3 linked regions of the Ovis aries genome follow. The protein of the gene in region 2 purifies or fractionates together with the protein of the main gene of each other region. This does not show direct contact. Links are inferred from orthologs where the notes say so. Each region holds a gene or a part of one and is shown on either strand. Other genes may lie near its edges. The genes, in order: SRPK2, DGCR8 and USP36.

Evidence for each region.
Region 1: the proteins of DGCR8 (region 2) and SRPK2 purify together in Homo sapiens (affinity purification with mass spectrometry; 3 studies listed by BioGRID and IntAct, with this or other methods). This does not show direct contact. The link is inferred for Ovis aries from reciprocal best matches to the Homo sapiens genes DGCR8 and SRPK2.
Region 3: the proteins of DGCR8 (region 2) and USP36 purify together in Homo sapiens (affinity purification with western blotting; 3 studies listed by BioGRID, with this or other methods). This does not show direct contact. The link is inferred for Ovis aries from reciprocal best matches to the Homo sapiens genes DGCR8 and USP36.

Annotation. Positions count from the first base shown.
Region 1 is NC_056057.1:47,827,015-47,833,074, reverse strand, and holds part of SRPK2 (SRSF protein kinase 2), read left to right. Parts: exon of another isoform or gene 1-3,992; coding exon 3,993-4,158; intron 4,159-5,312; coding exon 5,313-5,338; intron 5,339-6,060. UniProt on the Homo sapiens protein: Serine/arginine-rich protein-specific kinase which specifically phosphorylates its substrates at serine residues located in regions rich in arginine/serine dipeptides, known as RS domains and is involved in the phosphorylation of SR splicing factors and the regulation of splicing.
Region 2 is NC_056070.1:73,002,650-73,008,709, forward strand, and holds part of DGCR8 (microprocessor complex subunit DGCR8), read left to right. Parts: intron 1-643; 5' UTR 644-725; intron 726-2,096; 5' UTR 2,097-2,372; coding exon 2,373-3,092; intron 3,093-3,509; coding exon 3,510-3,666; intron 3,667-5,120; coding exon 5,121-5,263; intron 5,264-5,392; coding exon 5,393-5,636; intron 5,637-6,060.
Region 3 is NC_056064.1:52,871,051-52,877,110, forward strand, and holds part of USP36 (ubiquitin carboxyl-terminal hydrolase 36), read left to right. Parts: intron 1-1,294; coding exon 1,295-1,405; intron 1,406-2,438; coding exon 2,439-2,541; intron 2,542-4,715; coding exon 4,716-4,783; intron 4,784-5,225; coding exon 5,226-5,296; intron 5,297-5,933; coding exon 5,934-6,016; intron 6,017-6,060. UniProt on the Homo sapiens protein: Deubiquitinase essential for the regulation of nucleolar structure and function. Required for cell and organism viability.

The sequences.
Region 1 (6,060 bases), on a different chromosome or scaffold from region 2:
GCTTCCTTGATGTTTCCAATTTTCCTGATGAGATCTCTAGTCTTACTTCTTTTGTTGTTTTCTTTCATTATTAAACACTGTTCACTGAAGAAGGCCTTCTTGTCTCTTCTAGCTGTTCTTTGAAACTCTGCTTTTAATTGGATATACCTTTCCCTCTTTCATTTTTCCCTTCTCTTTGTTCTTCTGCTGTTTGTAAAGCCTCCTCAAATAACTGCTTTGCCGTCTTGCTTTTCTTTTTCTTTGGGATGGTTTTGTTCACCGCCTCCTGTACAATACTATGGACCTCTGTCCATAGTTCTTCAGACACACTGTCATATAGATCTAATTCCTTGAATATACTTGTTACCTCTACTGCAAATTCATGCAGGATTTGATTTAAGTCATACCTGCTGGCCTAATGTATTTCTCAGTTTTCTTTAGTTTAAACCTGAACTTTGCTATCATGATCTAAGCCACAGTCAGCTCCAGGGCTTGTTTTTGCTGACTATATACAGCTTCTCCATCTTCAACTACGAAGAAGGGAATCGGTTTGATTTCAGTATTGACCATTTGGTGATGTCTACATGTAAAGTTGTCTCTTGTGTTGTTGAAACAGAGTATTTGCTATGACTAATGCAGAATTCAGTTAGCCTTTGTTTGCCCTGCTTTATTTTTTGTTCTCTAAGGCCAAATTTGCCTATTACTCCAGGTATATCTTGACTTCCTACTTTTGCATTCGAATCCCCATTGATGCATAGAGTATCTCTTTTAGGTGTTAGTTCTAGGAGGTCTTCTAGGTCTTCATGGAACTGATCAATTTCAGTTTCTTCAGCATCGGTGGAATGGGCATAGACTTGAATTACTGTGAGGTTGAATGGCTTGCCTTGGAAACGAACCAAGATCATTCTATCATTTTTGAGGTTGCACCCAAGTCCTGCATTTCAGACTCATTTGTTGATTATGAGGGTTACTCTGTTTCTTCTATGGGGTTCTTGTCCACAGTAGTAAATATAATGGTCATCTGAATTAAATTCGTCCATTCCCGTCCATTTTAGTTTGCTGATTCCTAGGATGTCATTGTTTATTCTTACCATCCCCTGCTTGATCACTCACAACTCACCTTGATTCATGGACCTAACATTCCAGGTTCCTATGCAGTACTGTTCTTTGCAGCACCGGATTTTACTTTTGACAACCAGACACATCCACAACCGAGCGTTGTATCCACTTTAGCCCAGCCACTTTATTCATTCTATTAGTACTTCTCCTCCACTCTTCCCCAGTCGCATATGGGACACCTTAGACCTGGGGGACTCATCTTTTGGTGCCATATCTTTTTGACCTTTTTTAATAGTTTGTGAAGGTTCTCATGGCAGGTATAACTGGGGTGGTTTGCCAGTCCCTCCTCTAGTGGATCACATTTTGTCAGAACTCTCTGCTATGATGTGTCTGTCTTGGGTGGCCCTGCATGGCATAGCTCAGAGCTTCATTGAGTTATGCAAGCCCCTTCGCCACAACAAGGCAGTGATCCATGAAAGGGATTAAATATCTGAAACCTTAAATTCTTACTGAGAACACTTTGCTTGTCTCAAGTGTCTCATTTTCATTGAAATTCATTTTAACACATTTGGATACTGGATCATATTAACTCTTACCTAAGCAGCTTCACACACAGTGAAACAACCTAAGAACTACGAAAGAACTAAGGTGGAAAGTTAGGAACAACTTGTTCATGAGATGGTAGTGAAAGATATTTTTGGAAAGATGCTGACATTTTAACTTTGAGTTAATATTTGATGATTGAAGTGAAATTTTAGTTGAAATAATTAAAAATAGTTTAAACTTTCTAAAAGTCTTATTCCTTTTACTTCCACAGACGGGAAGTCATCAGTGTACTTGTCCATTAATTTCTTGTACTTCTCAGAATTTCTCTTACTACTCATATATAAGAACTCCATGTGATACTTCAGTTTGCCCAAAGAAGATGCATGAATGCCAGTGAATATATACAGGCTCATTGAATTGTGTTCCCTTCAGAATTATAACCTTATTCTCTATGGAAACATATAATGCTATGTTTCGTACTGTTGGTATTTGGACATTTTAAACATAATTTAAACATATTCTAGTTGAAGTATTATCTAAAACATTAAATATTAATTTTAAGGTAAAGTCAAAGCCTCGTGGAGATGGGGAACTTTGTTTATTGCTGTGTATCAAACATCTATAAGCATATGCAGCCTGTTATAGGAGCTCAACTGATGCTCAGTCAGTGAAGTCATGTGAAAGTATTTCCAAGGAAAAGTTTTTAAAATGAATATGAGGATTTTCATCTTGGTTAAGAGACTCATGTTCCTTCTACTTTCCTTGCGAAATCTGTGCCTTCACTTACTAATGTTTTGTCATCTTAAGATTGTTTGGGCTTCCCTGGTATTGGCTCAGCTGCTAAAGAATCTGCCTGCAGAGCAGGAGAACTGGGTTGGATCCCTGGGTTGGGAAGATCTCCTGGAGAAAGGCTACCCACTCCAGTATTCTGGCCTGGAGAATTCCATGGACTGTATAGTCCATGGGGTCACAAAGAGTCGAACACGACTGAGGGACTTCTACTTTCAAGATTGTTTAGCCAGAAACTGAAGGTAGACAGAAGCATTGGGTTTTTGCTGAGAACTTTTCCGAGTTGTTCAGTATTAGATATCTTCTGCTTGTCTTTTCCTCACTTCCTTGTCTAATGTGATCAAGACACCAAATGACTTAAAATGTTTGAATGAAGATGTTTATTAAATGCAAATGTTTATTGAGCATGTAGAATTTGTAATATATGGGAACATGAACTGTATTTTAAAATATTTTTTTTCCTTATGAAAAGAAAGAATTCCCCTCTTATGGAAATAATTCCAGAAAAACTTTGGCCTGGCATTTAGGTCACCATACTCTGTAATTTTTGCTATATATATATTTACACAGACACACACACATGGTAAGTATGTGAGTATCTTGGTTTAGCAGTTTCTTTTAAATCAGTACTATATAGTTTATAGCCTGGGTACCAAAGCTACCTAATTCTCCTTTCCTACAATATTAGAAATGTACAGACATCATTAGCCATTATGGGAATGCATATCAATGAGATACACACTTCACACCCACAAGAGTGACTAAAATGAAAAGACAGATAACAAGTATTGATCATCCGGAAAAAACTGTAATCCTTGCACATTGCTGATGGGAATGTAAAATGATGCAGCCATAGATAGGATAAAACAGCTTGGCAGTTTATTGAAAGACTAAAGATAGAGTTACAGTATGACCCAATAATTGTGCTACTAAGAAAAATAAAGACATGTCTACATAGAAACTTGTACATGAATGTTTATAGCAATATATTTATAGTAGCCATAAAATGGAAAGAACTCAAATGTTCATCATTGAATGACTAAACAAAATGTATTTTCAGTGGAAAATTATTTGGCATCTAAAAAAAATGAGGTATTGCTATGTGCTACACATGGATGAACCTTGAAAGTATTGGGCCAGGTACAAAAGACCACTCTGTATCATTCCACTTACATAAAATGTCCAAAGCCAGGAAAGTAGATTAGTGGTTGCTTAGGGCTAGAGGAGTTGGAAGGAGATGGGGAGTGACTGCTAATGGGTGCAGTGTTTCGTCTTTGTGTGATGAACATGTTCTAAATTATATAGTGATGACCGTTGCACATCTAAAAACCATTCTATTGTACACTTAAAAGGTTGAATTGAAAAAAAAAGGGTGAATTGTGTGTCATGTAAATTATATCTCACCAAAGTTGTTATTTTAATAAGCATATGTTTAAATGCATTTTCTTATATGAGCATAAATTATCTCCAGAATGATATACACTGGTTGCTTATGGGAAGGAGCTGGGTTCCTGTCGGGCCCAAGTTCCTATTGTGCCTTGTAATGACTGTAACTATTTTACAAATAAATGTTGAATAATAGAAGTATTAATAACTCCTTCCTGATTTTATGTGATCAGGTCCTTCAGGGGTTAGATTATCTCCACAGTAAGTGCAAGATCATTCATACTGACATAAAGCCAGAAAACATCTTGATGTGTGTGGACGATGCATATGTGAGAAGAATGGCAGCCGAGGCCACCGAGTGGCAGAAAGCGGGCGCTCCTCCTCCTTCAGGGTCTGCAGGTGAGAGGCTGGGCCAGCTTTGTGTCAGTCTGTGTAGGGGCATTGAGAGCCTGCAAAGTTGTTCATAGGAAGCAGTTGAGTTAAACGTGTACATGTTAGGAACTTGCATAAGAGCCCGATGACTGGTAATAATTAGACCTTTTTCTTGAGAAGGAAGATGCCCCAGTTAAGTCGTACTTTAATATTTGAATTACTTAGCTTTGTCCTCCCTTAAAAGGTCACTGAATTCTTCTTACCTGCTGCTTCATTTTCATTTGAACTCTGTCTGCGTCGGCCACTTCTCTACAAAGGAGTGTATAGTAACAGGTTTCCTGTAGCCAACCTACAATCGTCAGCATGCTTCCTTGTCTCCATTGAGCATAGTTACATCAGTGTAACTGGTGCACTTAAAATTAGTTACAAGAACTTCAGGGTGAAAGAAGATCAACTGACTTGAGCATTGGTGTATGAAGTTTTATTTCTGGTTTTCACAAGGTGTCAAGGTGGCCATGAAGTGTGGATGATGCTTTCATCCTGTCTGCACGTGCTTTCTGCCCTAGTGTGTTGTCAGGTAGCACAGGGACTGCAGAGTGAAAGCCCTCAAACTGAGGCTTTTGGCAGATGAACCACTTATGAATCTTGTTTTCTACCATCAGGTTGCTGTTTAGATAATGGAACCATAGTCTGTGAAGCTTTTGACATTGGCCAAGTCTGTTCATGTCATTTCTAGACTATTTGTAGTAGTATTGGATCTATTTTAGTTGTATGAACTTGTGAAATAGTTTTCAAACAGAGATGTGGAAGTTAATTGTTCATTTCTTTGTCTATAAACAAGTTGGGTTTTGTCACTCTTCTCCATTTTTCTTACCAGTCAGTGTTTTGTGATTGTGTGTTTTTGAAATGAATAAGTGTTTAATTTCAGGTTAATAAGAGAAATGACTCCATGTGAACCACTATGGCTTTGCTTTTTAAGAGCCAATCATTTGTTTGAGTTGGATAAACTTTCTTTAGGACTCTATGATTAACAAGCTTTAATATTTAAAGCTGTTTAAAGTTGTTTAAGTTGCATAGCCATTAAAAGGCAGTAGTTATTTCATTTTACAGTTCAGATTACCTACAAAAAGATAAGTATCTGTTTCACTCTAAATGTTCACTTTATTTTGTTTTGTTTTTAGTGAGTACCGCTCCACAGCAAAAGCCTGTAAGTACTTACATATATACTTCTATTACCTCCTTGTCAAAAGTGACTAGTCATTACTGAACTTTTCTAATTGTAACATTAGTTTTTGTTTCTTTCTGCAACAACTTTTTTTTAAGGGTTGTTTGAGGGAATTAGTTTTACTTTTTTTGTTGTTGTTGTTCCTTTCTCAGTCATAGATGTTGTCATGTATTTTAGCGTAAAAGACAGCCATATTTATAAATGCTGCGTATACTTGAATATGCAAGACAATATTTTGAAAAAGTGAAGTGATTTTTAGAGGTGGGATAATTAGAGCTGTCCCAAATTCTGTATTTTCCTCGTGTACTTTCTGGAGTGCTGTTGGCTGAGTCTGATAAAATGTGAGGTTATAGAGATAGGGTTTTAAGTGTGATTATTCCACAGACACTTTCTATTATTTCTGATTTGCCTCTAAGTTACCTGTTTTTTCTGAAGCTGCTGTTCTAATTTTTTTCCAGCTAGTAGTTAAATGTGAAAGAGCATTATCTGTGTGGTCCTATCAAAATTCCAAGTGTGAACAAATGAAGCAGGCTGTTTGGAATTAAATTCTAGATCTAAACCTGGTTTAGGCTTGGTTCCAGTTAAGCATAGAATATATATATATCTCTCAAGTTGATGGGTCACCTGCAAGTTTTAAAGGTCTTTATGACCCGAAAGCCCTCGGAAGGAAATGTGCAGAACTCCAGAGTGCAGCCAGCAACCCT
Region 2 (6,060 bases):
TAGTGGTTACTTGTCCGTCTCTCTGCTAATGTGTGAGCTCTGGGGCTGGGGATTGTGTCTGCCTCCGGTCCTCGGCATCTGCAGTGTTCTGTGTGCGCCCCGTGGAAGGCGTTGACGGGTGCAGATAGCAAACAGGGAAGGTCAGGAGCGTGCTCGGGACAGCCTGCAGCGGAGCCCTCAGCGCACTGCCGCCCCCGGGGCCCGGCGGCTCCCCAAGCTCCGAGGACCCCTCGCTGCGGCTCCCAGTCTGCACTCTGGGCACCTCTTCAAGGCCTCCCTTCAGGTTCATCGTTACCATCTTGGCTCTGTGCTTCTGCACTGAGCTTCTCAGGCTCCGAGCGTGGCCGGAGGTGTCCCCGTCTCTGCACGTCTCTTCGTTTTAGCCTTTGTGGCCTCCAGGATCGCGCGTGGGCTCTTGCTGGGGCCTCTGCAAACCTGCCTGGCGCCCAGGGCTTTGGTCCTGGTCGTGTCTGTGTCCTGTAGTGCTGGGCGTGCCGGCCTGCCTGTCTGAAATGAGCTTTCTTGGAGCCAGGAGACTGGCCTCGCCCCGCTCGGCGGTCCTCGTGCGTGTCCGGTGCCGCCTCAGTGGCCTCCCGGCTCCGCGTCCGTCCCCACCCGTGTGCCCTGTTTCCTTGGTCCTTAGCACTTTTGGCAGACGTGCCTGCGGGGGAGGTCTTGTGTTCGGAAACATGAGGACACCTTGGGACCCGGGAAGTAGAAGACAGGTCAGTGGCTGCTGCCCTCTCGCTCATGCTGACACCCCGTCAGAGTAGGTGGTCAGTGAACAGTCGTCGGTGGGTCGGTCGCCCCGGACAAGCCTCTGTCTTTTGTGTCCTGTTCCCCCACTGCAGCCTCTCAAACATGTGGTGTCTGCTGTTTCCTGTCTGTCTGCAGCCCGCAAGCCGCCCCGCGGGGTGTGGGCACGCATGTGTGTCTGCATCCACGTGCATGGCATGCTCGTGCGTGTGTCTGCACGGTGTGGGGTGCGTGTGTGCACGTGTGTGCGTGTGTGCACGTGTTCTGCTGTGCTGGGACCTCCCTGCCGCGGCCCTGTGTTTGGGCGTCCCGCCTCGCCTTCTCAGCCTGGTGTCTTCCCTCTGGCGTGGACTCCCCAGGGCTGCGTCCCCAGCCCTTGTCTTGGTCTGCCCTCGCTCTCTGGGTGGCCTCCCCTGTGGATTGGGTGACCGCCTGGCCGATGTGTCCTGGTGGCCTTGGCCCTGTTGGCCGGGCCTGCCCAGAGGCTCCGAGCACCCTCCTCTGTGGGCCCTGCCTGTGTCCCCTGGGGAGAGGCCCTGTGGGTCTTCGGGGCTACCTCGTCCCGCTCTCCGCCTCCACCGCTCGGCAGTGTGGTCAGTTCTGTGTCCGCTCTTCTCGTGGGTGTGGGCCTCCCTTCTGCGTAGGGACTGAACTGTGGCCTGAGGGTCCCTTCACCCTGGGCCTCCCTGCTGCCCCAGCATGGAGCCAGGCTCCAAGCGGCTGCCAGGACCCCCGTGCCTGGGCTCAGCTGGCCCCCGTGGCCCCTCCCTGCCCGCCTGGCCGGGCTTCGTCCCCGTGGCTCCCAGCGCTCCTCCTGGGAGCAGAGCCATGCCCAGCCCGCTGCATCACTGCCCCTGCCCCCGTGCCCTGGGGTCCCTGGGGGCGGAGCCCCGGGCGCGCCTCTGAGGCCGTAGTGCCGCAGAGCTGAGTGGAGGGCCGCCTGCTTGCCCTCTGACTGACCGGCCCGAGCAGGTGAGTGGACCCCCGTCACTGGTGCTAGATGGAAGCCACACGCCCCCGTGTGCTGTGGGAGGTTGGCCGCGTGAGCCGAGCCAGGGGAGCGCCGCGGTGCAGCGTAGTGGAGGAGTTTCGGTTTTTTTAATCCTTTTTGACCCTAAGTATAATATGGTTTTTGTGTTTCTGAAGTTGGAAATACAGTGGACAGCTAGCAAAATACTTGACTCTGGACTTAAGTTATCATTCAGGCTCTGAAGAAGGGAGTCAGGCTTGCCTGTTCTGGAGCGTGGAAGGCGCCCTCCTCGGGCGGCGGCACTGGACTCTGGGTGCCGGGGGGCGGGGGCCTCGGCCGCTGTGTGACGGCACCTTTGCGTCTCTTGCAGGTGGAGGAGGACGGGTGCCCCTCGGCTCGAGGACAGACGCGCGCGGCCGCCGGTCACTAAGCTGAGTGCATTGTGATTTCCAATAATTGAGGCAGTGGTTCTGAAAGCTGTCTACATTAATGAAAAGAGCAATGTGGCCAGCTGGGCTAAGCCGCCAGCGCGCGCAGCGCGGGCAGACGCACCCGGGTCTCGGCGGACTTGTGCATGCTAGCTGTCTAGAGTTATGTCAGGTTCTTAAAAGCGCTGGTCTTTTAAAGTAGTCCTAACCACTGTACCATGGAGACATGTGGGAGCCCCTCTCCTCTCCCGCGCGAGCCCGCAGGAGGAGTGGCGACGGAGGACCGAGCGCGCCCCCTCCGCGCGCTGCCCCGTGGACAGTCTCCACCACCTCCCCTGCAAACGTCCAGTGATGCAGACCTAATGGACGTTGGCTCTGGTGGTGATGGACAGGCCGAGCCCCCTGCCGAGGACCCGCTCACCTTCTGCGGAGCTTCTCTTCTCTCCAAAGGATCCTCCTCTAAGGCCCGCCTCCTCGTAGACCCGAACTGTAGTGGCCACAGCCCGCGCACAGCGCGGCACGCACCTGCGGTCCGGAAGTTCTCCCCTGACCTTAAGTTGCTTAAGGATGTAAAGATTAGCGTGAGCTTTACGGAGAGCTGCAGGAGTGAGGACAGGAAGGTGCTGTACACGGGAGCGGAGCGCGACGTGCGGGCAGAGTGTGGCCTGGCCCTCAGCCCTGTCAGTGGGGACGTGCATGCTGGCCCCTTTGGCGGGAGTGTGGGGAACGGGGTAGGCGCAGGGGGTGAGAGCGCGGGTAAGAGGGACGAGGAGCATGAGCTGGATCAGGAAAGGAGAGTGGAGTACGCAGTGCTCGATGAGTTAGAAGACTTTACTGACAATGTGGAGCTAGATGAAGAAGGCGCAGGCGGGTTCACGGCTAAAGCGATCGTGCAGAGAGACAGAGTGGACGAAGAGGCCTTGAATTTCTCCTACGAGGTATGTCGGCGTCCCCTCCTTTGGAGCACTCTTAGCAAAACCCAGAGAGAGGCGTTTGGGAGCTGCAGCATCTCTGGGAAGCCCGCGCTGCAACGTAGCCGAGGAAAAAACCCGCAGGAGGCGGGAAGGTCTACGCGGAGAGAGAGCCGTTAGGCATCCCGGGGTCCCAGCTCTGCTAACACAGTTTGGGTGACAGGTCTGCCTTGTGCCCTTGTCTCAGCCGACTTGGAAGGATCTGCTGGTCACGAGCGTGTGCTTCGGCTGGCCGTGTCACCCTCTTTGCTTTTCAGGTGCTAGCGCACCCGGAGGCGCACCTAGGCCCCTGAGACCGCCTCCTCTCTGCGTTGCCGCTGGCGCCTGCCCACGGGCGGGAGTGCGGTGCCAGGGGCCGCGGGCTCTGAACGGCGTGTCTTGCAGGACGATTTTGACAACGATGTCGACGCTCTTCTGGAAGAGGGCCTCTGTGCTCCCAAGAAGAGGCGCACGGAGGAGAGATACGGAGACAGCGACCACCCGTCGGACGGGGAGACGAGCGTGCAGCCGATGATGACCAAGATTAAGACCGTTCTCAAGAGTGAGTCGGGCCGGGAAGCAGCAAGGCGCCTGGGAGAGCGCTCAGGCTGCCGGGAGGCGGTCTGGGCGGCTGTGTGCGTCTGCAGGCAGGAGGGTCCCGTCGGGGCCGGCAGCTTGAAGCGTGAGGACACAGCCTGTGTACTGCCAGGGTGCGGGGAGAGGGCGCCGGGGCGTGGAGGCCATGGACGGGGCGGTGCTGAGCGTAGGGGCTGCTCGCGGCCCCCGTCTGAGTTCAGGGCTCTGTGCCGAGTGCTGGGGAAACCACTGGAAGCAGGCAGGACTCATTCCACAGTCTGCTGTGAAAGCACGACCCGTGGCCCCGTGTGGACAGAGATGGAGGGGTCACGGGTATACCGGGAAGAGCGGTTGGGGTGCTCAGAGCCGCCCCGTGCGGCCACCTGCTGACACGGGGCCCTCTCGGGCCCCCTTTTTCTGTCTTGGCCTGGGGGTGCCTCTTGGTGTCGGGTGGGCGGCAGGAAGGGGCTGGAGGGACTCGGGCACGCAGGTGATGCCTTCTGCTGAGCACCACGCAGGTGGCCAGCATGACAGGAACCGCGGCGTGGCCGGCGCGCCGTTTCCCGGCCGCAGAGCGGGCCCGTCGGCAGGGCCGGGCGCGTGTCTGCCGCCTGCGCGCTGGTCTGCTCGCGGTGACAACACGCCTCCTCCCCCTTGGTTACCCGGGGCTGGTTGCAGGCAGCTCCTGGCCCAGCCTGTGGGGCAGGGGTGCCCGAGGGGGCCTGTGCGTGCCCAGCCTTGCCTGCCGTCCCAGGGCCGTCCTGACGCTGGCGGTCGCTTGGCGTCAGCTGCGTGCGGGTGTCAGGCCTGGCACGAGGGAGTCGTTCCGTTTCCACAAGAGCTGGTGGGGTTGTTTTCATCTCGTCCGTGTGTTTTTTTAGATTCCACGTGGCATTTCACTTTTGTTTCTGAGCTTTTCACTTGCTCCCAATACTGGTAAGAAAAGCAAGCTGTCCTTGAGCCTTGGTCCTGTGCATCTCCCAGCAGCAGGCCTGTCCGTGGCAGCTCGGGACAGTGCAGGCTTGCCACCGGGTCACAGGGAGCAGTGACCCACAGTCTGCGGTTCCTAGCGGAGCCTACCCAGCCCCTGTGGCTGTACCCGCGGGAGGCGGGCAGAGAGGCAGCGTCAGGGCGGCAGAGCTGCAGCGAGGCCGTGTGTCTTGCGGAGCGCTGCTCAGGGCTCTGTGGTGTGTCCGGGGACTAGAGCAGGTGAGGAGGGTCTTGGCGCCCTTGGGTCCCAGAGGCTCGGGCCCAGCACTCAGAGGAGTGGGCTTGCAGGCGGGGCTGGGCTCTCCTGGTGGGGGTGGGCCATCCCCACCCTGCTCAGAGCTTTCCTGTAAGGCGGGCTCCAGCGTGCTGCTGTTTCCGCCCGGGGGCAGACTGTGACTGTCCTGATGGCGCCCGCGCGGCCGTGACCGTAACTGTTCTTGCCCCGCGCAGGCCGCGGCCGCCCGCCGACGGAGCCGCTGCCCGACGGCTGGATCATGACGTTCCACAACTCCGGAGTGCCCGTGTACCTGCACCGGGAGTCACGGGTGGTCACCTGGTCCAGGCCCTACTTCCTGGGCACGGGGAGCATCCGGGTAGGGGCCGAGTCCGTCCCGCATGTGGTCTCGCAGGCTGCAGAGGGAGGTGGTTGCCAGGCAGGCTGGTGGGGGTGTCAGAGGCCTGCGCGTCCGGCCTGGTGACCTCTGTGGTCTTCCCACCTGCAGAAACACGGCCCTCCCCTGACCAGCATCCCCTGCCTGCACTACCGGAAGATGAAGGACAGCGAGGAGCGGGAGCGGGGCGCGGGGCTTGCCCCCCCGGAGCCGGAGCTGCCCCCGGATGAGCCCGACCCCCTGGGTGCCGACGCGGGGCCCCCAGACGAGAAGGACCCCCTGGGGGCCGAGGCGGCGCCCGGGGCCCTGGGGCAGGTGAAGGCCAAGGTGGAGGTGTGCAAGGACGAGTCGGTCGGTAAGCTTCGCGTGAACTTGGCCCCTAAGGAGGAGGGCCCCGTCTGCGCCTGCCCGCCCCTGCGCCCGGGAGACCCGCCTGCTGGCCGGCGCCACTGTCCAGACGGCCTTTGCTCACGACTGTGGGGCCTCTTGGCGCGGGGTGTGTGCCTGTTGGTCCTGGGTCCCCCTGCTGGGGTGGGCGCAGCCACTGCCTCAGCCCCGCGGGCGCCCTTGGTCCTGGGTAACCTCTCCCTGGCCCGCCCGCATCTGTTCTGTGGGGGCGGCTCTCTTAGCCCCTGCCCAGTCCCTGTTAGAGGGTGGTGCGTGTTCCATCCCTAGCTGTCTGCGTGCTCCTGCCCGTGAGGGGCTGGGGGCTGCTCCCAAGGAGGGGCCGTGTCTGGGGCTGGCGGGGAAACCTCCGGGGAGTGCACTGGTGCTCCGCG
Region 3 (6,060 bases), on a different chromosome or scaffold from region 2:
ATTCCCCGGCAGTCCAGTGGTTAGGATTCTGAACCTTCAGTGCCAAGGGCCCGGGTTTGATCCCTGGTCGGATCTGTCTGGGAAGGTCATGCCGTATATTTGAGGTTACAGTATCTTGTAGAACTAGAGATGTGTTTGCCTTTGGCCCCAGAAGTGTATCTTGTAGGTGTGTGCCTTAGAGAAACCCACACGCATACAGGAGGTGGGTACGGGACCATTCACTCACCCCAGCGTTGTGACTGCAGGAAGAGGGAGGGGTTGACGTGAGTGAGCAGGGGGCTGTGTGGATGGACTGTGGTCTGGAGGGAGGGCTAAAGGGCAGCTTGGTACAGTTCATAGAAAGCGAGCTTAAACGTGCAGCCGCAGTATACTGGTGAGTGCCACGTGTGGAGTAGGGTGAACCCATGACTAGGAACAGCGCTGACCAGTTAGGGTGCGGGTCCCTGCTGCCAGAGGACAAAGGACATGGGGAGCCGGGGTGTGAGAGGCTGAGAGGGGAGTTCAGCCGTCATACCTGTGCTTGACTTACAAAGCGCCTGAAACGGTGTCGTCGTCTTTGCTCTTCTCTTTGTCTTTAAGATAGTTCACAATTAGAAGTGTAGCTAGAATCTGCCTGCCCGTGCAGGAGACGGAAGACACGCAGGTTCACTCCCGGAGCCAGGAACAGCCTCTGGAGGAAGAAATGGCAACCCACCCCAGTACTCTTGCCTGGGAAATCCCTTGGACGGAGGAGCGGGCTACAGTCCAGGGGGTCGCAAAGAGTCAGACACGACTGAGCGTGCACACACACACAGAAGTGTAGCACTGTCTAGCCTAACGCCTGGGGGAGCAAATAGCTTATCCCCAGCAGGGGGCTGGCCCAGCCTCGGGGGCACCATCTGGCCAGCAACCGACTCGTCCCGCCTCCATGTAGGTGTCCCCTGGGGCAGCAGAGCCGCAGAGTCGGGGCCTGGGGTCTCCCCGGAGCTGGCTGAGCCCTGGTGTCTCCTGGGAGCAGCAGAGCAGAGGTTCCCATGCTGAAGAGCAAGTGAAGGGGTGTCTGTCGGGAAGCCTGAAATGTTCTCTGCCATTGACCATGTGATGCGATTTGCAGGTCAGAGGACACGTTCTAAACCGAGCTTGGCAGCTCACGCTCCTTGGGCTGGGTCTCAGGAGAGACGGGTTCCTGGTGCCGCCAGCCTTGCAGGGCTTGGGCGGGCTGGGGGCCTCTGCTCTCTGCCAGCCAGGAGGCCGTGACGTCAGCTCTCCTGGGAATTCCCAGAGCCCTACCGTGACCGCGTGTCCACGCCCGCAGGTCACCAGGGCAGCTTCTGCATGCTGTGTGTCATGCAGAACCACATCATCCAGGCCTTCGCCAACAGCGGCAACGCCATCAAGCCCGTGTCCTTCATCCGGGACCTGCGAAGTAAGAGTGGCTTCCTCCTCGGGAGGGCGGCATTGCCGGGGGGTGCTGGGGGTTGGGGGAGGCGGGAGTGGGGTTGAGCCTGGAGGCCTCAGGCACAGAGTGGAGCAGACTAAAGCTGGCCCTGGGGCCGGATGGACGTGGGGCATGCATGCCAGCCAGTGGTGACCCGCACCCCTGGCCCCTTCCCCGTGATCCTGCAGGCTCAGCCAGGCCAGGGCTGTGTGTTTTGGGCGGGGAGGTGGGTGAGGAAGTGCTGCGAGGCCTTTTCTCAGCACCGGAGGAACCAGGGCCCATGTGCTGTGAAAGTCAGATTTCTCTTTTGCTTGGCAGAGGTGGGCCCTTAGTCTCATTGCTGTTGCTGTATTTCAGGTATTTACGTATTTATTGGGCTGCACTGGGTCTTCGAGGCTGCTCGCAGGTTTTCTCAAGTTGTGGCGAGTGGGAGCTACTCTGGTTGTGGCCTGTGGGCTTCTCCTTGCAGTGGCTTCCCGTTGCTGAGCACGGGCTCTAGGGCGCACGAGCCGCAGTAGTTGGGGCCCGCAGGCTCTAGAGATCAGGCTCAGTTGTTGCGGCGCTTGCGCTTAGTTGCCCGTGGTACGTGGGATCTTTCTGGACCAGGGATTGAACCTGTGTCCCCCACGTTGGCAGGCAGATTTTTAACCACTGGACCACCAGGGAAGCCCACCCATTGGTTTTTGAAACCTGTGTATATTGTATTGGGCCAACATGGTGGTGATCTGCCATGGCCTGTATTGGCTCCTGGAAAGCCGGCTTAGTTAGTTAGCGGAGCTCATATCCTTACTGCTGGGCATCCATTCGTGCTTTCTGTTACACGTAGAGGGTCTCACTGGGAAGATAACTGCCGTCAGGGAGGTGCCTGGGACATAGGGCGTCACGCAGGGCTCTGTTTCCTCACTTGGGTTTAGTCCTGGGTCCTCTAAGAGATGGCCATGAGACCAGTGGGAATGGGACGTTCGAAGAGAAGGCGGGGGCTCCTCTCTGCTGGCCTGACGCCTCTTCCTTCCCTCCTTAGAGATCGCCCGGCACTTCCGCTTTGGAAACCAGGAGGACGCACACGAGTTTCTGCGGTACACCATCGACGCCATGCAGAAGGCCTGCCTGAGCGGCTGTGCCAAGTACGTGCTCCCCTCCCCACAAGCTGCCTCTCTGGACGTCCACACTGGGCCCCTGAGCGGTCCAGCAGCGGGTCCACCGCTCTCCCGGAAGGGGCCTCTCCTGCTGCAGGTCAGGTGGCGGCGTCTCTGCCCCAGCAGCTTGCAGAGGGACAGGCTCTAATAGATCTCTCCAAGGACCTTCCACCGCTGTCAGGGGCTCTCCCCGTCTTTTGAAACCGCCTTGTCATTTCGTTCCCAAGGATGGGGCAGTGGGAAGCGTAATGTCTTTGGGCAAGAACTTGAAAGTCTGCAGGAAAACTCAAGGGTAAGGAGATGATGATTTTTGAGGTTCGCTCCGCCGAAATTTGAGGGCATAGACCAGTGTTCCCTTTTGTGAAACAGCTGCTGCTAGAATGTTTTTGTATCATTCTTGGGTTTGTGGGTTCAATTGAGAGAAAGCAGGCAGGAAGTGCTGCCTGGGCTTGGAATGGAACTGAGTCCTGGACTCTGAAGTATGGCTGAGGAGTCATGCCTGGAATGCCCTTCACGAAGGTTAAGTTGAGTTGTAGCCGTGAGGATGGGAAACCTCTGTTTCAGAGGATGAGACTGATGGAGTTGAACCTGGTCTGTCATCGGTGACCTCGCCCTGGCTGGGAAGTGACCCTCCCCTCGGGAAAACACGCTGGCATTGCTTTTGCTGGTGTTAGAGCAGCAAAAGCTCTTTTCCCTTTAATTCCTGGGAGTGTTTCTTGTGTATTTGATGGTACGGCTCCCTTTCTGGGTGTTGGGCTGTTGGTAGTCTCGCATCTCAGCTGTCCCCGCCACACTCACACTCACACACACACACACACACAGCCCGTGTTCCCCTTTCCTGTGCCCCTCAGTCCTTCCCCCATGGGCAGCTCATTTCTTTTCCCCGAGTTCAGTGAACTTTCTCTCCTTTTGGCCATGTTATGTTAGTTTTAAGGCTTGTTCACAGTGGTCTTCCGTCTCCCCATGCACCCGTTTGGGGTCTTCAGTTCACCCCGGAGCTTTGGCACTGACTGTTCTGCTTCGAGCTGCCCCCAGGGGCTGGTTCTTATTTTGTACTGGCAGCACTGGTAGCTTTCGGATACTAACGGGGGTTTGGCGATTGGCCTGGTTCTTTCTTCAGGCGCCCCCTTCTGGCCGCGCAGCGAAGCACATGCTGGAGGGTGGGTGGCTCTCATCCAGACTCAGAAGGGGTGTGGCCTTGGTTTTTTTGTTGTTGTTTCTTGTTCAGGACACTCCTTTTTCCCCTTGCCCTGCCTCCCCCGCCCCGCAAGGAGCCTGTCTGCCTTGCTGCCCCCGGGGCTGCTTCCAGCCACATCCGGCTGCCCGGACTCCCAGGAGCCTCCCCTCATGGGAGGGGCCGTTTCCTCCCGACCTCGGTCTCGGGTGGAACGCTTGGTGGCAGTGTCTCGATGGCGTCTTGATCTGGCTCTGCTGTCCTGCCTCTGGGCAGCTGAATGTCTGCATTGTCCCTGCATCCCGGCTGGGCTGAGAGTATGTCCCTGTGTGGTCCTCCGGCCTCCTGTCCTGACGGCTCCTGTTGTCCTGGGGGCATCACCCAGAGGGTCTGGGTGTGTCTGAAGTTATGTCCCTGCCGGTTTTTGGACCTATGATGTCCCTTCTCTGATGAGTGCTGGTGACAGATGGTGGCAGTTGCTTTTTGTTTCCTAGTTTTGCATAGCAAAAGTCGGCTGACTCGGTGTTGGCCCCCGTGTGTTCTGGAGCTGTACTCCTTAGCCAGCTGCCCATGTGTGGGCAGCACAGCCATGAAGAGTTACATGGCCTGGACGGGCGGCTGAGACCAGGGTGCCCTGGCTCACTCTGCAGGGGGCAGGAAGGGGCCGCCTGCGGAGAGAGGAGCAGGGTTAGCAGCATGCGTGCGGCCTCCGGAAAGCGTGGTGCCCACGCGGGACTGAGGGCAGAGCTGGAGCGGGAGCAGGGGTCACTGAGGCAGGGTTGGCCTGCAGGTCCATCGGGCCTCTTGCTCCCGGTAGGAGGCAAGGCTGCCTGCTGAGAGGGCAGGAGGGCATCCCACAGGAGGTGGCTGCTCTATGGGAGATCTCTGGGCGGAGCCACCGCTGAGCGGGTGATGAAATGGGGCCTGGTGGGGTGCCTGCCTGTTTCTTGGCCCCGTCCTCCACCTGAAGGCCGTGGCCTTTCTCCAGGTTGGATCGTCAGACGCAGGCTACAACCCTGGTCCATCAGATTTTTGGAGGCTACCTCCGATCTCGGGGTAAGTGGAGAAACGTCCTGTGTCCCTTCTGGCCAGGGATTAGAGTATTAACCCGAAACGCTTCATTTCGGCCCCTAGGCTGACCTGCCAGGCCCCCGAGGCCTCCAGCCTGGGTCTGTGCCCCACAGCCCCACCTGCAGCCTTCCTGGGAAGGGGTTTGGAGGAGCAGAGTCTAGAGCCCGTAGACACGCTGGTGTTGCTTTTCCTTGGACTCCGTAGTTAATCAGATGTGGCCGCTGCCCTTGGGGTGGGGGTGAGTGTCCCTGGCCAGGCCAGCCAGGCATCTCAGGGTTTGCCCTCCTCTCCTCCTGAGCATCTCCCATCTCGGGGAGCTGGTGAGCTGGGAGCGTGCCTCCAGTTCTCGGACTTATAAACCTGGGCGACCTGGGGGTGGTGGCCCGGGGCCCTTCACCCACCCCACCGTTCCCTCGTTCTCTCGCAGTGAAGTGCTCCATGTGCAAGAGCGTCTCAGACACCTACGACCCCTACTTGGATGTGGCACTGGAAATCCGGGTACACACCTCATGCTGGTCGATGTTCATTTGCGTTAGGATGGGGAGGCCAGAGGGCAGAAAACCCAAAACGGGAAGACCGATCAGGGCATGTGATCCAAATAGATCAGGAAAGAGATACTTGGAATCCTCCATTTTTGTGTGTTTCATCTCAGCCATCTTCTCTGTGTTCCTTTTTCTTTTTCCGAAAAAAAAAGGGGTTAAAAAAAGGACAGTTTTGTGCCCTCAGATGTGAATAGCGACCCCACTGCACGCAGGGCTTGAGCAGGGAGGCCCGCATGGCGCGGGGAGCTTCCACACAAAGGGCACACCGTTCCGAGCAGCCTTCCTCTGTCCCCGCTCTGAGGCTGCTGGATCCAAGCTCACCTCAGCTTGAGGTTTGGATCAGACCCCCGTCGGCCGTGGTGAACCCCTGGGGCTGTGATCCTGGTCCACAGAGGAGTCACAGCCTGGTTCCCCGTTGCCTCTCTGATGGGATGCGCTGACTCCCAGAAGGCGGTAGCGAGCAGGCCAGTTCTTGGGCAAGTGAAGTGCCGTGATCTGCTGCCTCAGCCTGAAAAAGACCTTACATTTGGCATTTCTGGAGTCAGCCTTTTTCTTCCGCTGTTGACTGTACTCCCTGTTTCTGTCCTTCTCAGCAAGCTGCAAACATCGTGCGTGCTCTGGAACTTTTTGTGAAACCAGATGTCCTGAGCGGAGAGAATGCCTATATGTGTGCAAAGTAAGTTTCGGTTTGATTGTGGCCAAAAAGATCAAGCCAGCGAG